2 linked regions of the Lytechinus pictus genome follow. The protein of the gene in region 2 interacts with the protein of the main gene of each other region in a pairwise test. Links are inferred from orthologs where the notes say so. Each region holds a gene or a part of one and is shown on either strand. Other genes may lie near its edges.

Region 1 (10,145 bases), about 26 Mb from region 2:
AAGAATTCTTACTTAGCAATCATTTTAAAGTCAGCTCGATTCTCTCTGCCAACTTCTACTGCTTTCAAACAATCCTCCCTGCATAACGTGTAATCTCCTTTCTCAAAATGTGCAGCTGTCGTCAAAAGAAAAATAAGGTCAATTACAACATTGTCCACTCATCTCAATCAGGATACAAATCACCTGAAACTTGCTTGCTGGTGAAAATATGTGTGAATTAATTACAGCATGGTTGCATGCAAACATTCATTTCTAAATGAAATTACATTAATGCAAAATTGTAACTAGCTCTTGAGTCTACCACTTATTCTTACTTTGCATATAGCTCCTGAAATAATATTGTGATTACATTTTTCACTTCTTTTAAGAAAAGGTCTGTATCATTTGCTCTAAAAACTAAATTTTGGATGTATTCTTGGAACATTTGTCAAAGGCAAAAATACAAATATTAAAAACTGAAGATTGCATAAGGCCTAATCCATTTCAAACTGACACTAGGAAAAAAAGTTTCATAATTAGCAACTAAAGGGTCTCATTTTACTTACCAGCTCTGTTTGTGATATATGAGATGTTAGTTCCATCTTTTTCAAAGGCTTGGGTATAGAGTTCAATGGCTTTATCAAAATTCTTCTTCTTGTATTCAGCGTTCCCTTGCTCCTTCAGTTTCAAAGCCTGGTAATGGGAGTATCAAATACTTGTCAGGTAAAATAAAAAACACGTTTAATCTGAAGTCCAATTTTGGATAGGCTCACGCACATGGTGCAGACATATTTGGGCCCCCTTCTACGAAGTAAAATGGAAGCAGAGCAAGACCAAAATCAGAACTTAAGGAGGTAGAAGTGGATACCAATGCAATGCCAATTCTAATGCATATTTTCTCTTGATCTAGTGGATAAATGCTTTATTTTCTGGCACAAACAGCTCCTCCTACAATTGTTCATATGCCTTGGCCCTAGGCTAAATTAATTTCCTATTCACGCTTGAATGCTATGCGCCTTCAAGCCTGTCTAAAGATTCGATAAAGAGTCAAGAGAATTTTGATAGGGCAGAAGAATACATCTAAAGCCCTTAGAATACTCAGTTGAAGTCAGTTCTGCCTTGGTGTAGACCAAGACTGGCTATATACAGTTAAGCATTTGTCAAAATAGAAAACCATTGATGCTTTTAACAGTCGTTTGAACATCGTTTAAACGTTTTGACTCGGCCCTGGTAATAACAATAATGAAAAGTGGAGACATTACATCATCAGCCCAACTATTTCCATATTCATAACAGTGCATATAACTGTTCAAACATAATACTGCTAAATTTTAAAATTCAATATTTATGTTATTTCATCACATTTCGGTGGAATTTTCAGTGTTTTGCTCAGTGAAGTTTATTCTATTTATTTTGATATTTTCTCGGGCCCAGAGTATCCTTTTAATGGCATTATCATCAGCTCAGTAGAGGCATTCAACCAAAAATGAGGATCGTCCCAGAAAGCTAGGATATCCTCATAAACAAAAATAAATCATGTCTTGATAATATTGAGATTGTTGTTATGTGGACAGTTTTTTCACCCCCCCCCACCCATCCACTGATATCTGTAGACGGCACCGTATAGAGTACTAAGGGAGTGCTAGATTCTGTGACCTGATTTCCCTAGTTCAGTGGCTGTGAAATCATACATCGATTTCAAACTCAGAGTCAAGTCAAAGAGTAAACCGAGAGGCAAGAGCACATACAACACACATAAAAAAAGGAGGTGAATATCACGATAAGGCAATAAGGATGAAAAGCAGATAAAATATTTATTAAAAAATTTACAATGATGTGCAAAAAACTGCACGGATTGTGTGTTGCATGGACTCGCAATTTGCATAGACTCAACACAGACCATGCAGTATGCAGCAGCTTTGCAGATATTATAAGCTGTTATTTTTGCGGGCGTTTTATATTCACAGATTTTGCGAATTTACAATGCGCAAAAAATTGACACATTTAATGTCCCCAACAGTAAAGCTTTGCTATTGCAAGCATCCTGTGCGGTAAAGAAATTAAGATATGCACCTATTTATGTATAAAAAATAAGGTTGAGAACGTACAGTTAGCAATTAAAAGGGTTAGCTAGAATTTCACTTTTTATTTTTCAAACAAATTCAGAGCCCAAATTATTTCATAAAATATTTTTATCAATATTCATTCACTCACTGTAATATTACGATGTATTTTTCCATGAAATAATTTAATCTTATTGTCATCTGATTGATTCTATACACAGGTACATTCACAAAATTCAACATTTTTGCACTTGCAACAACTTTTAAAAAAATGAATTTAACAAAACACAACTTCTAAAGATTGCTTTTACAGGTGAACAGTTTCAAAATAAGGCTAGACAAGGTGTGGGCAGACAAGCGGTACTGCTGACCCTATGATGGATAAACTCTACTATTACTAAGTACTAATGATGAGGACGGTACCGGGGGGGGTCACTCTTCACATGGACTGCTACCCACCCGTTACGGACGCGAGCGTCGCGTAACGTTGGGGAAGTACAATAAGAAACAAGATGGCGGCGTAAACATCGGGCAAGTCTCTTCCGTCTTTTCACAATATTTTTTCATTTTTTTGATGAATTCTTGTTTTAAAAATAACGAGAGCGTAGAAATGTCGGAAATGAAGTTTTTATCCCATTTATGATGGGGTGTCCAAACTTCGCGCACTTTTCAAAAATATTCATCAGGCTTAAATTTTTTCACAAAATATTCATAATTTATACAAAACCAATTCAAGAAATAGTTACCACATTGACGGCAAGATCGTAAACTATAAAATCATGGACGAAAATTTAAAGTAGGTCAAGGGGATTCGCCGGTATCGCGATCTCAAAAATCTATTCCGATCGGCGAATGCGCGCTGTGCTGGAAAACCGTTCAGAAAAAGTGTGACCTAACTTCGCGGACCAAAGTTTTTGTGGACATTTAAACAAAAACTCAAGCTCAAAAAGTGAAATATTTATATCAGATTGATGGCAAAATGTTATAGAATCGGTTAGTACCACATTTAACTCACATTTTTGATGATTTCTGCTTGCAAAATGGTGATATCGTGATGCTTGTTGAGAATATCAGATTTCTTCAAAACGGGCGCTAACGGTGACAAATTTGCCGATCTTTTGCCAATATTTTCATGAATACTGAACTCATCCTAAAGAAATTTACACCAAAGGGTAATTTTAGGTCGCTTTTCACGTTGATGATGTCAGATTTTAAGGATATTGGCTAGTTTTTTAGATAATGACCGTCCGCGAAGTATGGACACGCGCGAAGTTTGGACTCACTGCCATACATGATTTAGAGCTAGATCTTTTAGAAGGAAAGTAGAAATCTCGGGGGCGAAAGTTTCAGGGTTTATGCGGTACACGCAGATGAATGGGGAGGACTGCCTGGCTTCATAGGAGAGTAACCTTACGTAAGTAAATGACTTTTAGTTTACTCTCTAGTCTAAAAAGTTAGAAGCCGCCTGGCTACAGACGACTGTGTCAGTCTGTGGATGCGAAATCTGCACTGCATGCAATGCACTGCAATTCAATCTGCGAGTGCGATTGCGAAGAGCGCTAACGAATTTAACGCGGGTTTCTTTTATTTCACGATAATGAAATTAAAACTTTATATTCAATTATCAACCTTAAAATCGTAAATAAATCATCTACGTCTTCACTTATTCTACAATGGTTGAAATGCGAAAATATTGCACATATATTACCTCGTCTGCCATGTTTCCCGTATACGATTGTTCCTAAGCTGCTCCGAAGCTTCTGGATCATTTCTCTAAACAAATTTTCACTAACCTAAAAATATTTAGCTTTTCTTCAAGCCAGTATGTGAAAATTAATAACATTAAAGTCACATTACTTCTTTAAAAAAGTGAAATTTTTCTAATAAAGGAAAGAAAATATATTTTTTTATGCGAATAATTATTTGAATTTCATATATGTGCTGTGTGCGTGATGGCAACTCTTGAGCAAAAGAGAGATACTTAGCATCACTTTAATTTAGGACTAATAAGCCTTGGAAAAGCCTAGACGCTTTCAGTAGGCTACCTATCTCATTAGAAACTGTAAAACAAGAAACACATGCTGCAAACTTTGGCACAGCTAGCTATAGCAGCGAGTGAGGGGTATGACTATGAGACCGGGTATGAGACACTCGAACCCCCCCCCCCCCCCTCCCAAAAAAAGGGGCTGGCAAGGCAAAAGCCCGGGGGCATGGACCTGGGAAGCAGTTTGCTGGGGGTGCTGAAGCTGAAGCACCCCCAAGGTTTTCCCAGGGGATGCTGCGTGTATTATTTTCCATAGGCAGCACGGGGGCAGCACTCCAGAATTTTGGTATAGGTGCATGTGTCACATAATTATAAGAGAAATGTATGGAAAATGACCAACATCTTGTGTTGAAACCCATTTTTTGGCTTATCAAATTTCTTGGCACCAAAACGACCTTAATTTTGTTGTGAAACCTTTTTTTCAGTCAAATTTACATAATAATAATAATAATACATGAGATTTATATAGCGCCATTATCCACTTTGTTGAAATGCTCAAGGCGCTTGAAAAAGAGGAGCTAGAATTATAATTTAATGTAAGAAACAAGTGAACTAGAACAAGAAAAATACAAGTTGAAATAGATAAATGAATGCCTGTCGATCTTCAGAATGCAGTGTTAAACAAGTAGGTTTTTAAGTTAGTTTTAAAAGATGAAGTAGTATTGGAATTCCTCAAGGTAGTGAATTTCATGTCTCTACAGTTTCAATGAAATAAACAACGTATTTGTTTTGTGTCAATATAGTTTCAAGAAATAATAATTAATACAAAAATAATAATTGAATAATCAATAATTATTGATATTATCAATAAGTATTAATAATTAAGGACTGTTTAAAGAAATAATTAAGATTTACCCTCTCCCAACTAAGGATATGGTGTGCGCCCTGTTTATTTTATATCCTTTTGAATATAACTTTATTTTGTTAGTATTCTTTATTCTGTTTTTTTAAGGTGAAATAAGTGTAGAAGATACAAGAAATGAGAATTGAAATTTAAAAGTGGTTGTAAGCAAAAAAAAAATATGAAAACTGACAAGAATCGTAAAAATGACTCATTTTCAGTTTAAGCATTTGAAAATTTTAGCTTGCGCTTTGTGCTCTCTTGCACCCCCCCCCCCCCCCCAAATCCCTGTAGGATTTCTTTTTCCAAATGAAATATGCCCTTTTTTAAAAATAAATATACCTTCTTTAATAATAAAACATAATACATTTTAGGTTCGAAAATCACAGATTTTGAATCGCGGCTTGCACCAATTATTGTTTAGTACAGTACTAATCCTGCTCATGGTTACAAAAATGTATAGAATGTTGCTTTATGGTTGGAATATCACAATTTTTTGGCTCGCTTCCTGCACTCGCATCAATTATTGTACTCGTTCTCTTCCCGTTCACAAAAAATACTTAGAATGTCCAGTTTTCATGTTGGAATATCACATATTTTTGAGCTCGCGCTTTGCGCTCGCATTATTTTTATTGGTGAGTTATGTATCCTATTTAAAATGCAGTAATTAACTGCTTCCTTTACTGGTCAGTATATAAAAAAAATAGCGAGCGTACAGTTATTTTTTAGTTAGATACACATCTTTTTCATGATTGCAAAACCAGCTCAGAATATTTAATTTCCATGTCTTATTACACGACATGTCAAAAAGTTTGAGCTGGTGGTTCGCGCTGGCAACATTGCGCAAGGATGCCCTTAACAATGATTAGCCCCATAATTGACCATAAATCAAGTTCGTGCGAGAAAGTGTCTTCGACTTCCCATTTTGACGGGATAGAGGCATATTTTGGTATGTATCCAAAGATCATTGCTATATATCGTAGCTTAATAGATATATCTCACGTTCTGATCAGAATTCAAAGTTTCAAAGTATAAATAGATCTTTTAAATGAATTATTATCGCCGTCAATTTTATGCAATAATTGCTCGGATGCTCCCCGGCTGCTTTTAGCCGTACAACGCCGGCAGTGCTAGCCGGAGCGGAGGTTCCGGCGTCTGACACAGACAAATAATGGCTTAATCATAATGCATGGAATCAACACTGACAGAAAAAAAGTTTTAATTAACCTTCAGGACATTTTCATTGATTTTAAACCTAACGATGTTAGGCCCGGCCGTAGGAGCACCCCTGCCCTTCCTGGAAAATTCTAATACTAGGCCTAGATCCAAGTTCTAACGTTAGGCCTAGTCTAGATTAGACTAGACCCTCTCTTTAGATTAGAGTCTACCTATACAAAATTTACTCTATCACTCACTGACCGTTAGAGCCAGGCCCTCGACTATTTCTAGGCCTAGCCGGAAGTTAGGGCCAAGCACAGGCCTAAATAAGTTGGGCTGAGCCTATCTATGACTATGACTATGTAGGCCCTAACTTAACTGTTCGGAGATTTAAAAAAAAGCATGAAATAGGCATGGCCATGCAGGGCCAGGCCCTAGCAAGTACTTGCTTGGCCCCTTTTAACTCCTAGTCTAGATTTACAGTAGATAGTTTTCTATCTAGGACTAAGCGTCTAATTTAGACTTAGTCTAGATCTAACTGTTGTCTTGTTGATCTAAGAAATTTTGGATGAGCTGAGCTGGCCCTACCATTACTACTTTAGTCTAGGCCTACCCCGGTTTGGACCTTGGTCCTGGCCAGGGAATGGGGTGGTGCAGCCCTGCCCCTGGACTGGGTCTGGCTGGGGCTCCTTCCATTCATGCTTTATAGATCAAAATCGAGACCTAATGCAGGACCTAATCTAGTTTAGCAATACAAGAGATCTAGGATAGATATCTAGCTCAGGCAATACGAGCAATCGCTTGTAATTAGTCTATTCTAGGGCCCAAGATTGAAACTGTCTTTACATCATTAGTAAGCTAACATTATAGATCTACTAGAACCACAAATGTTACTCTAGATCTCTTCTATGTCTTATCTTAAACCTGACTTTTTAACTCTGACATTAAAATTCAAATAGAATCCAGTACATGTAGTACATGTGTAGGTTCTAACTTAGACCTTCGGGAGATGGGGCCTCCGCTGCCTTCGCTTTGGTGGTGGAGCCCCCTGGGTTTATGATAGAGCTATGGAATAGGGTAGTGTAGCTCTAATATTATACAAATATACAATGACACTCGAGGATCTGGCTAAAACTATTCGCATCGAAGGAACATCAGTACTATTCTCCCGAGGGCCATCGGCCCGAGGGAGAATAGTACTATGTGATGTTCCTAAGTGCAAATAGTTTTAGCCAGTTCCGAGAATGGGTCATTGTATATTTGTTTTATATCCCTTCCACTCATATATATTCTTCATACGATATTCTTTGTTGATACCCGACTTTTACAGCAAAACGATTTTTAATAAGTCGATGATGGAACAATCGTTGAGAAGTTGAGAAAACAATAAGCCTTGTCGTATTGATCGTCTGTTCAGCGAGCGAACCTGGTTAGTGCAGCTCGCCGAAAGTTTCCCGTGGCATGCAGTAGAGAGTACCGTTGGGCTGAGCAGCGCTCTGCTCGCATCGCGCCGCACAGCTCGCGAATCGAGTAGGGGGCGGGGTCAAAAAACGTATAGTTCACTTTTTCCCTAGGGAAAAAATGGACTATGCATGACGTCAGCAAGGAAAATGAACTATTTCATGGCAACCGTTTTTCGTAGTAAAACTATTCTTTTTCTCCTTGTGTACACTCTCAATACAACAATCTTAAATAAGGGATATAAATTATAATACTGTTTTCTATTGCCAGGGGTAGAGGCCTAGATCTAGTCAAGATTTATCAGTTGGTAGATGTGCACTACAATAACATGTAAAGTATAAGACCCTAGAAGTGAGTGGGGGGTCCCTCTTTGTTAAAAAAAAAACCCGAAGTGGTTGGTGTGTAATAAAGGTGATAATATAATTCAGAAAATCCTGGGTCACCCTCTGTGCTAACGAAGACTGGAGACTACTGAACAGGAAGGGAAAGAAGGGGAATAAAAGAAAAAAAAACACACTGAATTAATTAAGTCAAACACTGTCTGATAAGACTGATGACTATATTGTATGTTAATATCTAATATAGATATTAACGTACCTCTTTGATGGATATTTTAGACTCTTCCAATTTTTAACAAAAACAATAAGTTGAACAGGCAGTCAACAAAAAATTGATTTATGTATCCTCTTTTGTGTTTTCTGATTTGAATGTATTCTCTGAGAGCTGGCCGCTGCCCTGTAGACAAGCTATCTGTTTGATAAGTTTAATACACTTCTGAGGATGTACACACATTTTAGTACTTTGATTTGTTTTACAGGTTAAATATCTTATCAAATGCCTTTCTATCAATTTTCAAACCAGTGCACAAATAATATGCTTGGAGAAAAAGCATTTCCATTACCGGTAACTACAGGATTTGGTTTCTGATCTGTGGATAAAAATAACCATGATAATTGAAATTCTCTTGGTGACTGTTATGAAGAATTTTTCATACTGTATTCTATTTCTTTTACCTATTTACTGTAAAGAGGATTTTTAGATCAATTATTAAAGGGGTGTTGTTTTTAGAAAAAAAACTTGGCAATTTGAAGTGAAGAAAATCCCTAAGTTTTGTATATAGAATTATAGGGCCTACAATTTTCTTTCCTATAAAACCTACATGTAAAACATTCCAGGGAGCGAAGACGGCTGATTTGGGGGGGTTTCGGGGGCAATATTAAACAAAAATTATTTTTCTCAATTTTGCCCAATTTTCCATGTCGCGGATGGGGCGAGGGGGTCGAAAATTCAAACTCCCTGGATCTTCTTGATTCTCGCTGTAATAATCGGTTAGGATGCTAAAACATCCCAGGGAGCGAAGACGGCTGATTTGGGGGGGTTAGGGGGCAATATTAAACAAAAATTATTTTGCTCAATTTTGGCCAATTTTCCATGTCGCGGGTGGGGCGAGGGGGTCGAAAATTCAAACTCCCTGGATCATCTTGATTCTTGCTGTAATAATCGGTTAGGATGCTAAAACATCCCAGGGAGCGAAGACGGCTGATTTGGGGGGGTTTCGGGGGAAATATTGAACAAATATTATTTTGCTCAATTTTGGCCAATTTTGCCCAATTTTCCATGTCGCGGGTGGGGCGAGGGGGTCGAAAATTCAAACTCCCTGGATCCTCTTGATTCTCGCTGTAATAATCGGTTAGGATGCTAAAACATCCCAGGGAGCGAAGACGGCTGATTTGGGGGGGTTTCGGGGGAAATATTGAACAAATATTATTTTGCTCAATTTTGCCCAATTTTCCATGTCGCAGGTGGGGCGAGGGGGTCGAAAATTCAAACTCCCTGGATCCTCTTGATTCTCTTGATTCTCGCTGTAATAATCGGTTAGGATGCTAAAACATCCCAGGGAGCAAAGACTGCTGATTTGGGGGGGTTTCGTTGGAAATATTGAACAAATATTATTTTGCTCAATTTTTGCCAATTTTGCCCAATTTTCCATGTCGCGGGTGGGGCGAGGGGGTCAAAAATTCAAACTCCCTGGATCCTCATGATTCTCGCTGTAATAATCGGTTAGGATGCTAAAACATCCCAGGGAGCGAAGACGGCTGATTTGGGGGGGTTTCGGGGGAAATATTGAACAATATTATTTTGCTCAATTTTTGCCAATTTTGCCCAATTTTCCATGCCGCAAGTGGGGCAATGGGGTTGAAAATTCGAACTTCCTGGATCCTCTTGATTCTCGCTGTAATAATCAGTTAGGATGCTAAAACATCCCAGGGAGCGAAGCGGCTGATTTCGGGGGGTTTCGGGGGAAATACTGAACAAATATTATTTTGCTAAATTCTGGCCAGTTTTGCCCAATTTTCCATGTCGCGGGTGGGGCGAGGGGGTCGAAAATTCAAATTCCCTGGATCCTCTTGATTCTCGCTGTAATAATCGGTTAGGATGCTAAAACATTCCAGGGAGCAAAGACGGCTGATTTGGGGGGGTTTCGGGGGAAATATTGAACAAATATTATTTTACTCAATTTGTCAAATTTTGCCCAATTTTCCATGTCGCGGGTGGGGCGATGGGGTCGAAAATTCAAACTCCCTGGATCCTCTTGATT
Region 2 (10,981 bases):
CGGAAGAGAGTTTATGGTAAAAGGTTGCAATGGAAGTGTCTGAAATTGACCGTTTAGAATAAGCATTGCTAAGACTATCTATTGAGGAAGGGATTTCAGTGATGATAAAAACAGGTAAGTGGTCACTTACATCGGAAACAAACACTCCATTCATTAAGTTATTTTCATCATTCGTTAATATATTGTCTAGGAGGGTTGCAGTGTGACCAGTAATACGTGTGGGTACAGTTATTAGCGGCGTTAAAGAATTGGTATTAATACAGTCAGAGAAGTTCTTGGTGGTTTGAGAAGCATTCATATCATTGAGATCTATGTTGTAATCACCAAGCAAATAACATTTTTTGTGCTCGTTATTGACAATACTCAGAATACAATTCATTTTACAAATAAAATCATCTACATTTCCTGAGGGAGGTCTATAAATTATACCAATAATATACCAAGAGCGTGAGTTATTGTTTGGTTTAACCTCTATAAATATGGTTTCTAGAGATTCAAACATGTACGTTAAGTCTGGTCTCTGTTTATATGCTAGAGATTTATTAATATATACTGCAACTCCACCTCCCTGTTTACATATTCGATTATTCGTTAACATATCATAATTCTCCAAGTAATAAAGAGGTATATGTGAATTAGGTTTGAGCCATGTCTCAGAAAGGCCAATGATTGTAAATTCAAGGTCAATACTATTGAGAAATACTAATAAGTTTTCAAAGTTCTTTGGAACACTCCGACAATTAACGTGTAAAAGAGAAAACATATTCTTAGGATCTTCATTTTTAAGGATATTACAATTATTAAACTGGTTTGGAGTATAGTAACAAGATTCAGAGGAATTGTTGCTGTCGTCAGCATACTGTAAATGTAACATTGTGTCAGTATCAATAGGTAAGGGATTTACAAACATTTTACAAATAAACACTTAGAATAGAAAAGTTGAAATGAACAAAATGTTTAAAACTAGCGAACGGTATACTATGCAAAATTGAACCAAGAGGTGACAAAATATGAGTAAAACAGGCAAATTTCGTAGTAGTACACAAATTAGGATGTAAAAAGTAAAAAGACAATGTAATAGAACAGAATACAAAAACTGAAGAGATTGATAACAAATGTTTCGATGATAACTGTGAGTTGCAGTGTAAGTCACTGGCCTGGAAGTCATTTCACTTTATATTATAAAGTGAGTGTTCATGCTATGGTGAAAAGAGTAGAAGGATTATCATCCTTTAAGGCAAAATTATTCATATAAGTTTGACAAGGTCTTCCTTTGAGTTGATTTGCTTTTTCATAGTTTTGTTGTTTGTACATCGTACAGTTACAATAATCCTCCCGTCCATGGACCAAGCTGATAATATTTTGCTCTCTGGTTTGTTGATCTCCTTAAAGGCTAAAATGATATAGTAAGACCTATCCCTTGTTGTAAGTCCCAGTTAAAAAAATAACAAATATCTATGTTTGACAAATGCATCCACATGGAATTTCAATCGTTACATCTCTATTTTATTACAGTATTAGATCAACAAATCTCTGATCATATTTCCAGTTCTAAATAGATACCTTCTCAGCAATTCAGTTGGTGTTCACAAGTGATTATTCAATCTATGGAAGGTGACTCATGCAAAGTCCAAGTAGAACTCTATATTCTTTTTAGTTAACGAACACAGCTAGTTTCTTTAAAAGTCAGTGAACTGTACTCTGAAATGACTAATTTGCTGTGTGGTTCAGATCCTCCTATGACCAAGGATATCTAGACATTTGGATTGAAGATCGTATATGAATTATAGCAGGGGTGCTCTAAAATTTCAAAATGAAATTCAAAATGAAACCGTTCTGAACTTGGGGGAAAAGCAAGTAAATTTTGAAACAATGCCTACTTTATCCGGGAATTGCCTTCTGAGGTCAAACTAAACTTTTAATCTAGAAATTTTAAGGCTGTATAATCCTGGGCTTAGAATAGATCGGATCTAAAAACTTTTAGATCTTTCCTTAACTTAAGTTTATCACATTCCAACATTGGGGACAAGTAAACGGGGTACTCCATGCTGAAAAAAAGTATAAAAAATCAAGACTAAAATGTTTTATAAAGGATGTACCGTACTTTTTGCCCCAAGAGTCAACACTGTGTTTAGAATATGATTTGCGCGAGGTGTGGCTGTACTAAACCCAATGATGTAGGTAAAGGTAAAACCGACGAAAATACGTGTTTAGGGTGCTTTTCAAGACCCCATGGTCGCGCATGGTATCCACTCGTCAATGGAAGTACCCCCCCCCCCCCCCCCCGGGCCCCACCTTCTATTTTCTTATGTTATTATGTGAGAAAATGTGTGTATGATGTCTCCCATGTAATAAAAATCTTGTAGCAAGAATACCAGTTGTCCAAATTTTTTTATTTGAATAAACATAATTTTGTATAGACAGATCAAGTGAGGATATGACATCAATTTGCTAAATGTATATTCATGAAGACATCCAAAGAACTTAACACCAAAATAATGTCAAGCTTTTAAAATTGTCTTAACTTTGATTATCTTTGTCAAAATTTAATCAAATTTTCAGTGTTTTGATTGTCATATTTTTCTGCCAGAGCCCAGAGTGTACACACCTTTCAGTTAAGAAGAAAATTCATCTTTTCCTTTTACCCTATCCAATATTATTGCATGCGCTGCAATTTGGAATTGATGAAACAAACTTACATCAGATGAATTTGAAATGAGCTCTCTAAGGAAGATCTCCTTGTTTGAGTAGAATGTGTTGATGATGAGGCTCATCAATTGAGCAATCTCTGCCTGGAAGGCAAAGGTCTCTGCCTCTTCAGCTTCCATTGGTTCTTCTGGACGTTTGGTTTCAGTTGACATGGTGGTTTTTTGTGATCTGTATTAAAACTGACTGCAATGAAAGAATAAAAAACTTTACCACAGATTTTTAACCTAGGCTAGACCTATGCTATAGACATAGTATGCCATGGGCAAAGATTCCGCGTACAAAACTGGAAAAAAAACCTTTAAAAGCATTTTTTGGTCACGCATGTATACAGCAAAATATTTGACTGCCCCCCCCCCCCCCAGCATAAATATTTTAAAAAAACACTGCTTTTATTTAAAAAGTTTTAAAAGAGAATTTTCATTTTGAAAAAAATGTCCCCAGACATGCCAGACAAGGAGCAAAATTTTGATGAAATTGAAACAGATCTAGATTCTAGGTCTGGCTTTAGAAATTAGAGATTAGATCTATCAAAAGTTGATCAGACTAGTAAGAGTAAGACTAGGCTAGTTGAAACCATGATCAAGAATCATATCTAGACAATAAAGACACAATAAATCTCACCACTCTTCAGATCTTAAATCAAATTTAGACAAACTTTGTCACAAAGCGTTTCACAATATCCAGACCAGATTCATTCAACTTCAATTCAACTCCCAGTCAAGCCTGCCCTTGTAAACCCGATCCAAACTTCACTTGTCTGACTTAGTCAATTGAGTTGAATAAGGAAATAATGTAGAATAAACTTAGAATTCAGGTAGAAAGATCTTATATACCTAACTTACCTCTTCAAATTCTCGAAAATTCTCTTCTAGAAGATTCGTCAGGAGCAGGACAAGTCAAGACAGTCTACGGCACCGAAACACTCTCGCGTGATTAATGAATGAATGGATATGAACATGTGCGACCGATCCGACACACAATATGGCGAGGCGGCGCCGAGGATGCATATGGGAATTGCATTCTGCATGCACTGGCGCGGGGATGAATTGATATTAATCCGCGGCCATTCAATTCCAATATTTTAGGCTTATGAAGTCAAAAATTGTATTTTAACTAATTTTTCAAGAACATAGATAAAATCGTACTCAATTTTACTCAAATTTTTAATTTCTGGTTTTATTTTTTTATATTTCCTTTGAGAACTATATGTTCATTATCAGATGTGCTTCGGTTTTTCTAGCATATTCGACACCGGATGCGGATATAGGGTTTTCCAATACTTTAATTGAGGGTAAATATTTAATCAAGTCAAATTATTGTCGTGTAATTTGATTTTTATTCTTGCAAAATAAAAATAAAAAAGCGATGATGAACTAGTTATTATATATTTTACTACTAGCAACACCAATAAAGTATCCATAAAAATGTAAAGAATACAAAAGTATCATGTACTGCTTACCGATCGAAAAATGTTTTCGTCCAAATAAAGCGGTAAAATTCACCAATCAGATTCAATTTGAATATTCATCGATTTAAATGCCCGATTGTATGCACGATCTTTGTAAAAAAGCGGCATTTTATCACGATATTTTTTTTGGGGGGTAGGGTAGATGTATTTATCGATTTCCAACAATTGCACAAATTGGTGCTATAATGTTCACCAAACCAATCATAAATAGTTCTAGTATGATCCATGGTTTATTCTCTATCGCTAATGTATCTGCGCATCAAACTTTGATTGTGCAAGCACAGCTACAGAAAGGAAAATGTAATTGAATCTTCCACATGTTGGCAACAAATCGCATCGGTGTGTATCATAACAGAAAAACAGATAAATTTTGAAAATTAATCAGAATTGAGGAAGAGCACATTTTAAGTTATATATGGTTTATGGCAAAAATACTTTAACTCGCTCAGATAACCGAGAAATCAGGAAAATGAATAAGCTGTTTCTATATAGACTAGTTCCTCACACTTTTCTAGTCCCACCTCATTTTTTAATTTTTTTGCTGAAGAAATATAGATTCAGACCACTTTAGTGTGTGTGTTTCCATATTCAAATCAATGCAATTTAAAAAAAATTTAATTTTCCTTGGACGTTCCAAGCACTTTTTGTAATTATGAACTGGATGGCTATTTAATCAAACAATTGATGCGAGTGCGTAGCACGAGCTGAAAAGTTTTTGATATATGAAAACTATGAATACGCAGGATGTGTATTAACGATTAATGAAAACTCTAATAAATATTGACTTGAACATTGGATGTGAACAAGTTATCTACTTATCTTTTTGGGGGGGGCAACTCACAGGGGGGAAATGCCCCCCGTGCCTCCCGCCTTGGTGCCGCCACTGGTCTGGAGCGGAGCCCCCGGAACCTCGCGATATTTAAAGGAGAATGAAACCCTTGAAACCAGCTGAATCCATATCAAAGAGAAAAATCAAAGAAACATATTGTTGAAAGTTTGAGGAAGATTGAATGAATAATAAGAAAGTTATGAGCATTTGAATATTGAGATCACTAATGCCATGTAGTTCCTCCCATTGGCAATGCGACCAAGATCTGTGATGTCACACACGTACAACTCCCTCATTACTTTAGTACTTATTTCACTTATATTCTCACTTTTATAGAGTCTATCACAAGGTGAGGTGTTCTCTTTATGAGAGGACAAGTACAGAGGTTTCACAACATTATATCATTGATGAATCGTTTGTCATATGATTAGAATGAGCAAAAAGAGATGTTTTGGGCTATATTTTCAGTGTCCAAAAGGGGAGAGTTGTTCATCTGTGACATCATAGATCTTGGTCGTATTGCCAATGGGAGGATCTCCATAGCATTAGTGATCTCGACATTCAAATGCTCATAACTCTTCTATTGCTAGTCCTATTTTACTCAAAATTTTGTTGATCTTATTCTCTGATTTTTCTGCTTTCACAAAAGCTAACTTGCTCCAAGAGTTTCATTCTCCTTTAATAAAATCGCAAATGACCACTTTTTTATCAAATCGCTGATAATGAACGAAATATTTTTAGGCAGCACAACATAGCAAATATGGAAAAATTTGTAAAGTCTCCAGCGAGCGAATCGAGCCAGAAAAATTTGGTCTTTTAATATGATTTTATTCTAGTAGCTTTGGAAATTTACCCAAAGTGAACATTAATTTTAAGGCTTTTACGGTAAATCTAGCCAGCGCAAAGCCCCGCGGAAAGCTTTACTTAGGTTAGGATAGAGGGATATAACTAGCCCTTGGCTAACCCTTGGCTAAAGATTTTTTTTGTCCTGATTGCGACCATTAATTATTGCATATAATTTAGCAAGCTTATTTTAGATGCCATCCACATTTCTTCCCGTTCTATATATTTTTCAATTCTCGGCAGCTCGGTCGGGTTATTAAGTTTTTCTCTTTTTTTCTTGTCCCTTTTCTTCTGATTTTCGGATCTACCTTCATTTCCTGTTTCTTTTTGCCTCTTTCTCCCATTTTCCCGTCACATGTTCTTCTTTCGTTCCTTATCCCGCTTTCCTTCCATTTTCCCTATTTATTTCCTTGCCCTTTCTTTTCATTTTTTTCCCTTCTTCCTTTTCCTCTTTCCTTTCTTTGTTTCCCTTTCTCTCTTCCTCCCTTTTCTCCTTTTCCCGTTAAAAAAAAAAATTCCCGGTGAAATCCGCCAGGGGGCAGCTTGCCCCCTGCCCCCCGCCTGTTACGCCACTGTTGAGCCGCAATTTCGCGAAGGGGGCCTACGATTTTTTTTACCAGCTTCCTGAGTTTATATAAAAATCCGTAAAACGGCTTTTTTTCGACACACCGTGCGGACACCGGAGGAGACATGCGACTGAGTCTATTATCTTCTTGTGATATTTGTTATTGGTATGTATGGTTGTTTTATATAGGCATATAATACAGTAGACATAAAAACAAACATGCTATAACATAGCCTATGTTATACAATTGTTTATGTATATTGTTATCATTATGTCAGACCCCATCCCATGATTGAACACAGATTTATATTATATCAGCTCTCACGGGCCATCCAACCATATCATATAGGCCTACACTATCATGGACATGGTTGTTGTTTGTGAGTTATTGTTTATGTTATATTGTGTTTTTATAATTTCGGAAATAAAACAAACAAAACCTTAGGATACGATAGCTACAGATATTATGCGTGATATAAATATTTAAAAAAAGACCAAGAACTTAAATTCTTTTAATAACCATATTTATAGCATCTATCAGCATTAAAATTACTTCCCGGTTCTGAAATAAAATTCTGATAGATTTTCCTGACTAGATCTTAGTCAATCTTATTTTTTTATACAGTGGATCCACTAAAAAGCAATGTGCAATTCATGTGCTGACCTTGCTTTGACATTGGGTATTTCCACATGACGCGTATGGCAAGCCGTTTGTGTAAAAATTAGATAAACTCTGTTTTTCTCAAATAACTGTTCTTTTCAGAAAAACTCAGTTTATCTCAGATAAACACAGTTTTTCTCAAGAAGAACTAAGTTCTTCTTGAAAAACTAAGTTTATCAGTTGATAAACTTAGTTTATCAGTTGATAAACTCAGTTTATCTGTGAAAAACTGTGTTATATCAGTTGATAAACACAGTTTTTCAGATAAACTCGGTTTATCTGAGAAAAAAAGAGTTTATATAGTTTTTACACAAACGGTTTGCCATAGACGCGGGAATCCCAGCTGGGATTCCCCACAGTGCAAGTGGCGAACATTAAACTTGCGACATGACATTGTACGCATATTAATGTGGTCTCACAAAGGACCTACATCTTGCAAAAACTGTACCATATTGGGATTTAAATATTATTGTGCGTGTAGCTGTTCATGGCGTACGTGAGTATTGCAATGTGTGTATGTTCCAGTTTCACTGATTCATGTAGGCCTATTTTCTATATCCCAGATCATTTTGAACTTGAAAGAAGACAACCAGTGCGTTTATAATCTTCGACTTCATCATCTTGAAGCATCACTTCGGGCAGCACTTACTCTGGAAGAATTAGAATAACCATCGTGATAAAATGTTGCTAATGCCCTTTGGCTTTGGTCACAATTTATTTTAGTGTATACTATCAGTACTATTGCGATAAGAAGATTCTAGGCCTATAAAGCCAGGGGCGTAACAATGGTCGGTGGCCAGGGGGGGGGGGGGGGGAGGGGGGCAAGAGCCAAAAATTTCCCGGTCATATCATGGTATGTACAGGATTTTTTTTTATTGTACCCCGAGTATTAGGGCGAAGCTCAACGTGTGATAAGTACAAATAGAGGGAGCACAGCATGGCACGTGCACGAGCGAGAAAAAAAATTACCTTCTATGAGACGAGAGTCTAACTTTAGTTTGAGATTGATTTTGATATGGTATTCAGAAAATAACATCATGTCTTACATCTTCCTTTCATTTCCTTTCATCTTTTCTTTTTTGTTCTCGGTTGTAGAACTTTTTGGGCAGTACTATACTTTCCCGGTGAAATCCACCAAGGGGGGCAGCTTGCCCCCCGCCTGTTACGCCACTGTATATTTTATTCATTTCTTTTATTGAAATGAAATTTTAATTTGTTCGTACTGAAATATTGATAATTATTTCTACACAGTAACTTTTTGAATTAATGTTATACTAAATGCTTTTATATTGGAATGAAATTTTTGAATTGTTTGAATGAAATATTGATTACACACATCTAATATAAACCTTTTTGGAGGCAATACAGTAATTTTTAGGAATTGATATATCAATTATACTACATGCATATTATTGGAATGAAATTTTAAATTGGTAGTAATGAAATATTAATTATACACATTTAAAAACCTTTTTGGAGGCAATACAGTAACTTTTTGAATAACTGCATTTATTATTGAAGTGAAAATTTTTGAATTGTATGAAATGAAATATTGATTACACACATGTAATTTAAATCTTTTTGGAGACAATACAATAATTTTAGGAATTCATTATGTTAATACTTCATGCTTTTATTGGAATGAAATTTCGAAATGCTAAACTGCTTGTAATGAAATATTGAATACACACATCTAATTTAATTCTTTTTGATGACAAAACGGCTCGGTGTAAAAATGGCAGAGGTAAAAATGGCAGAGGTAATAATGGCAGAGGTAAAAATGGCAGAGGTAAAAATGGCAGAGGTAAAAATGGCAGAGGTAAAAATGGCAGAGGTAATAATGGCAGAGGTAAAATGGCAGGGGTTATAATGGGAGAGGTAAAAATGACAGCTCTATGTAAAATATGGCCAGTCTTAAACCCCCATGCAATGAATTGTCAAAAAGCCCCCGCATGTACATACATTAAATAAGAAGTGCATGTCACGGTTAGGCATTTCATCATCATTATGTCTTCATCGGCCTAACAATGCTATTTACGAATTCGTTGGAGGTGTACCGTGAACGCTTTTTAAAAAGAAATCAAACGACAGATATTTTTTCATTCAATTTATCAGGAGCAAAATGAAACTGCACTATTCTCATTCATCATTTTATAACATTCCTTTTTGTCTGGCTGGTTTATTTATATCTAAAGTTTGCCAGGTTTACCGATGCAAAAAGGAGGAAGAGTAGACATAAGAGAGGTGGAGAGACAGAGATGGTTAGGGGCGGGGAAAACATAGAGAACATAGCGGGGAAAGCTTAGACGTTGAAATTTTCACGAATGACTGTCGTTAAATATTATGTCCTTATTTGTAATGTCGTCTGTACTATTCTTTTTAAATAATTGAATGACAATAAGCATGCGTTCCCAGGCTTGGCACTGAATATGTAACTGATTATGAAAATCAATAATAATCTTGTTTTGACTGGTAAACCAATTTGGGGTCGATCGAGGGGGACCGTCTGGTTCAGATTCTTTGCATAAAAGAAGACCCTGAACCTTTACCACTGCATCCAATATGATATAAACGTCTTGATGGTCATAACCCTTGGAAGCGGAAGTACTGTTGGGTATTTTGTACACCATAAGCAGCACCCTCTTGGTAATTAGCTTGGTATGCTAAAATGTAGACATTTTATACAAATACTCTGTTATTTTTCAAACAGAAGAAAAAACATTGTTTATTATCTAATTGTTATTATTTTTGTTGTAATTCTTTTTCTGACCTAAAAGAACTTCATTTAGTTGAAATAATTTTTTGTGTCATTTTCCCCCTTAACCAAATTTTTGGAGTGAAAACTTTTTTTTCTCGGCTTTTTAAAGGTCAAGTCCACCCCAGAAAATTGTTGATTTGAATCGATAGAGAAAAATCAAACAAACATAACGCTGCAAATTTCATCGAAATCGGATGTAAAATAAGAAAGTTATGACATTTTTAAGTTTCGCTTATTTTTCACAAAATAGTTAAATGCGCAACTCAGCGATATGCAAATGAGAGAGTCGATGATGTTCATCACTCACTATTTCTTTTGTTTTTTATTGTTTGAATAATACAATATCTCAAATTTTACAGATTTGACAATAAGGACCAACTTAACTTAACCATAAACTGTTAAAATAATGGTAATTGCACATGTTCAGGGAGAAAATAAACTTTCTTTCACTTGACAAGGAGGAGAAAATTATAATATTTCATATTTCATATAATAAAATACAAAAGAAATAGTGAGTGGGTGACGTCATCAGTCTGCCAATTTGCACACCGACCAGGATGTGCATATAACTGTTTTGTGAAATTAAGCGAAACTTTAAAATGTCATAACTTTCTTATTTTACACCCGATTTTGATGAGATTTTCAGCGTTTTGCTTGTTGGATTTTTCTCCTTTTTTTCAAATCAACTTTTTGTTGGGGTGGACTTGTCCTTTAACAAACCAGCACCCAATTTTTCACTAACTTTTCAAAAGTTAGTGGTGCTCACTCAAGCGGAAATATTTTTCGACAGTTATATCGTCATTTGCTTAAATGGATCTGTACCAATGTTAAAATGTGGAAAAATCTTCAGGATTTTACATGCGGGGGCTTTTTGACAATTCATTGCATGGGGGTTTAAGACTGGCCATATTTTACCTAGAGCTGTCATTTTTACCTCTCCCATTATATAACCCCTGCCATTTTACCTCTGCCATTATTACCTCTGCCATTGTTACCTCTGCCATTGTTACCTCTGCCATTTTTACCTCTGCCATTTTTACCTCTGCCATTTTTACCTCTGCCATTATTACCTCTGCCATTTTTACCTGGCACCGACAAAACAGTGTAGCTTTTAGGATTTAATATGTCAATACTTCATTTTTTTATTG

What was found. The genes of interacting proteins can lie anywhere in the genome.
Region 1: the proteins of heat shock protein HSP 90-beta-like (region 2) and stress-induced-phosphoprotein 1-like interact in binary tests that used the Caenorhabditis elegans proteins (3 or more experiments, as listed by UniProt). The link is inferred for Lytechinus pictus from reciprocal best matches to the Caenorhabditis elegans genes hsp-90 and sti-1.

What each region holds. Positions count from the first base shown.
Region 1 is NC_087251.1:32,939,542-32,949,686, reverse strand, and holds the start of stress-induced-phosphoprotein 1-like, read right to left. Parts: upstream 3,983-10,145; 5' UTR 3,763-3,982; coding exon 3,751-3,762; intron 673-3,750; coding exon 546-672; intron 116-545; coding exon 13-115; intron 1-12. UniProt on the Caenorhabditis elegans protein: Plays a role in gonad development. Up-regulates longevity and thermotolerance. Binds daf-21/hsp90 and inhibits its ATPase activity.
Region 2 is NC_087251.1:7,019,867-7,030,847, forward strand, and holds the start of heat shock protein HSP 90-beta-like, read right to left. Parts: upstream 3,949-10,981; 5' UTR 3,552-3,948; intron 2,893-3,551; 5' UTR 2,862-2,892; coding exon 2,700-2,861; intron 1-2,699. Other genes in the region: uncharacterized protein LOC129266063, read left to right, coding at 7,563-7,571. UniProt on the Caenorhabditis elegans protein: Molecular chaperone that promotes the maturation, structural maintenance and proper regulation of specific target proteins involved for instance in cell cycle control and signal transduction. Undergoes a functional cycle that is linked to its ATPase activity.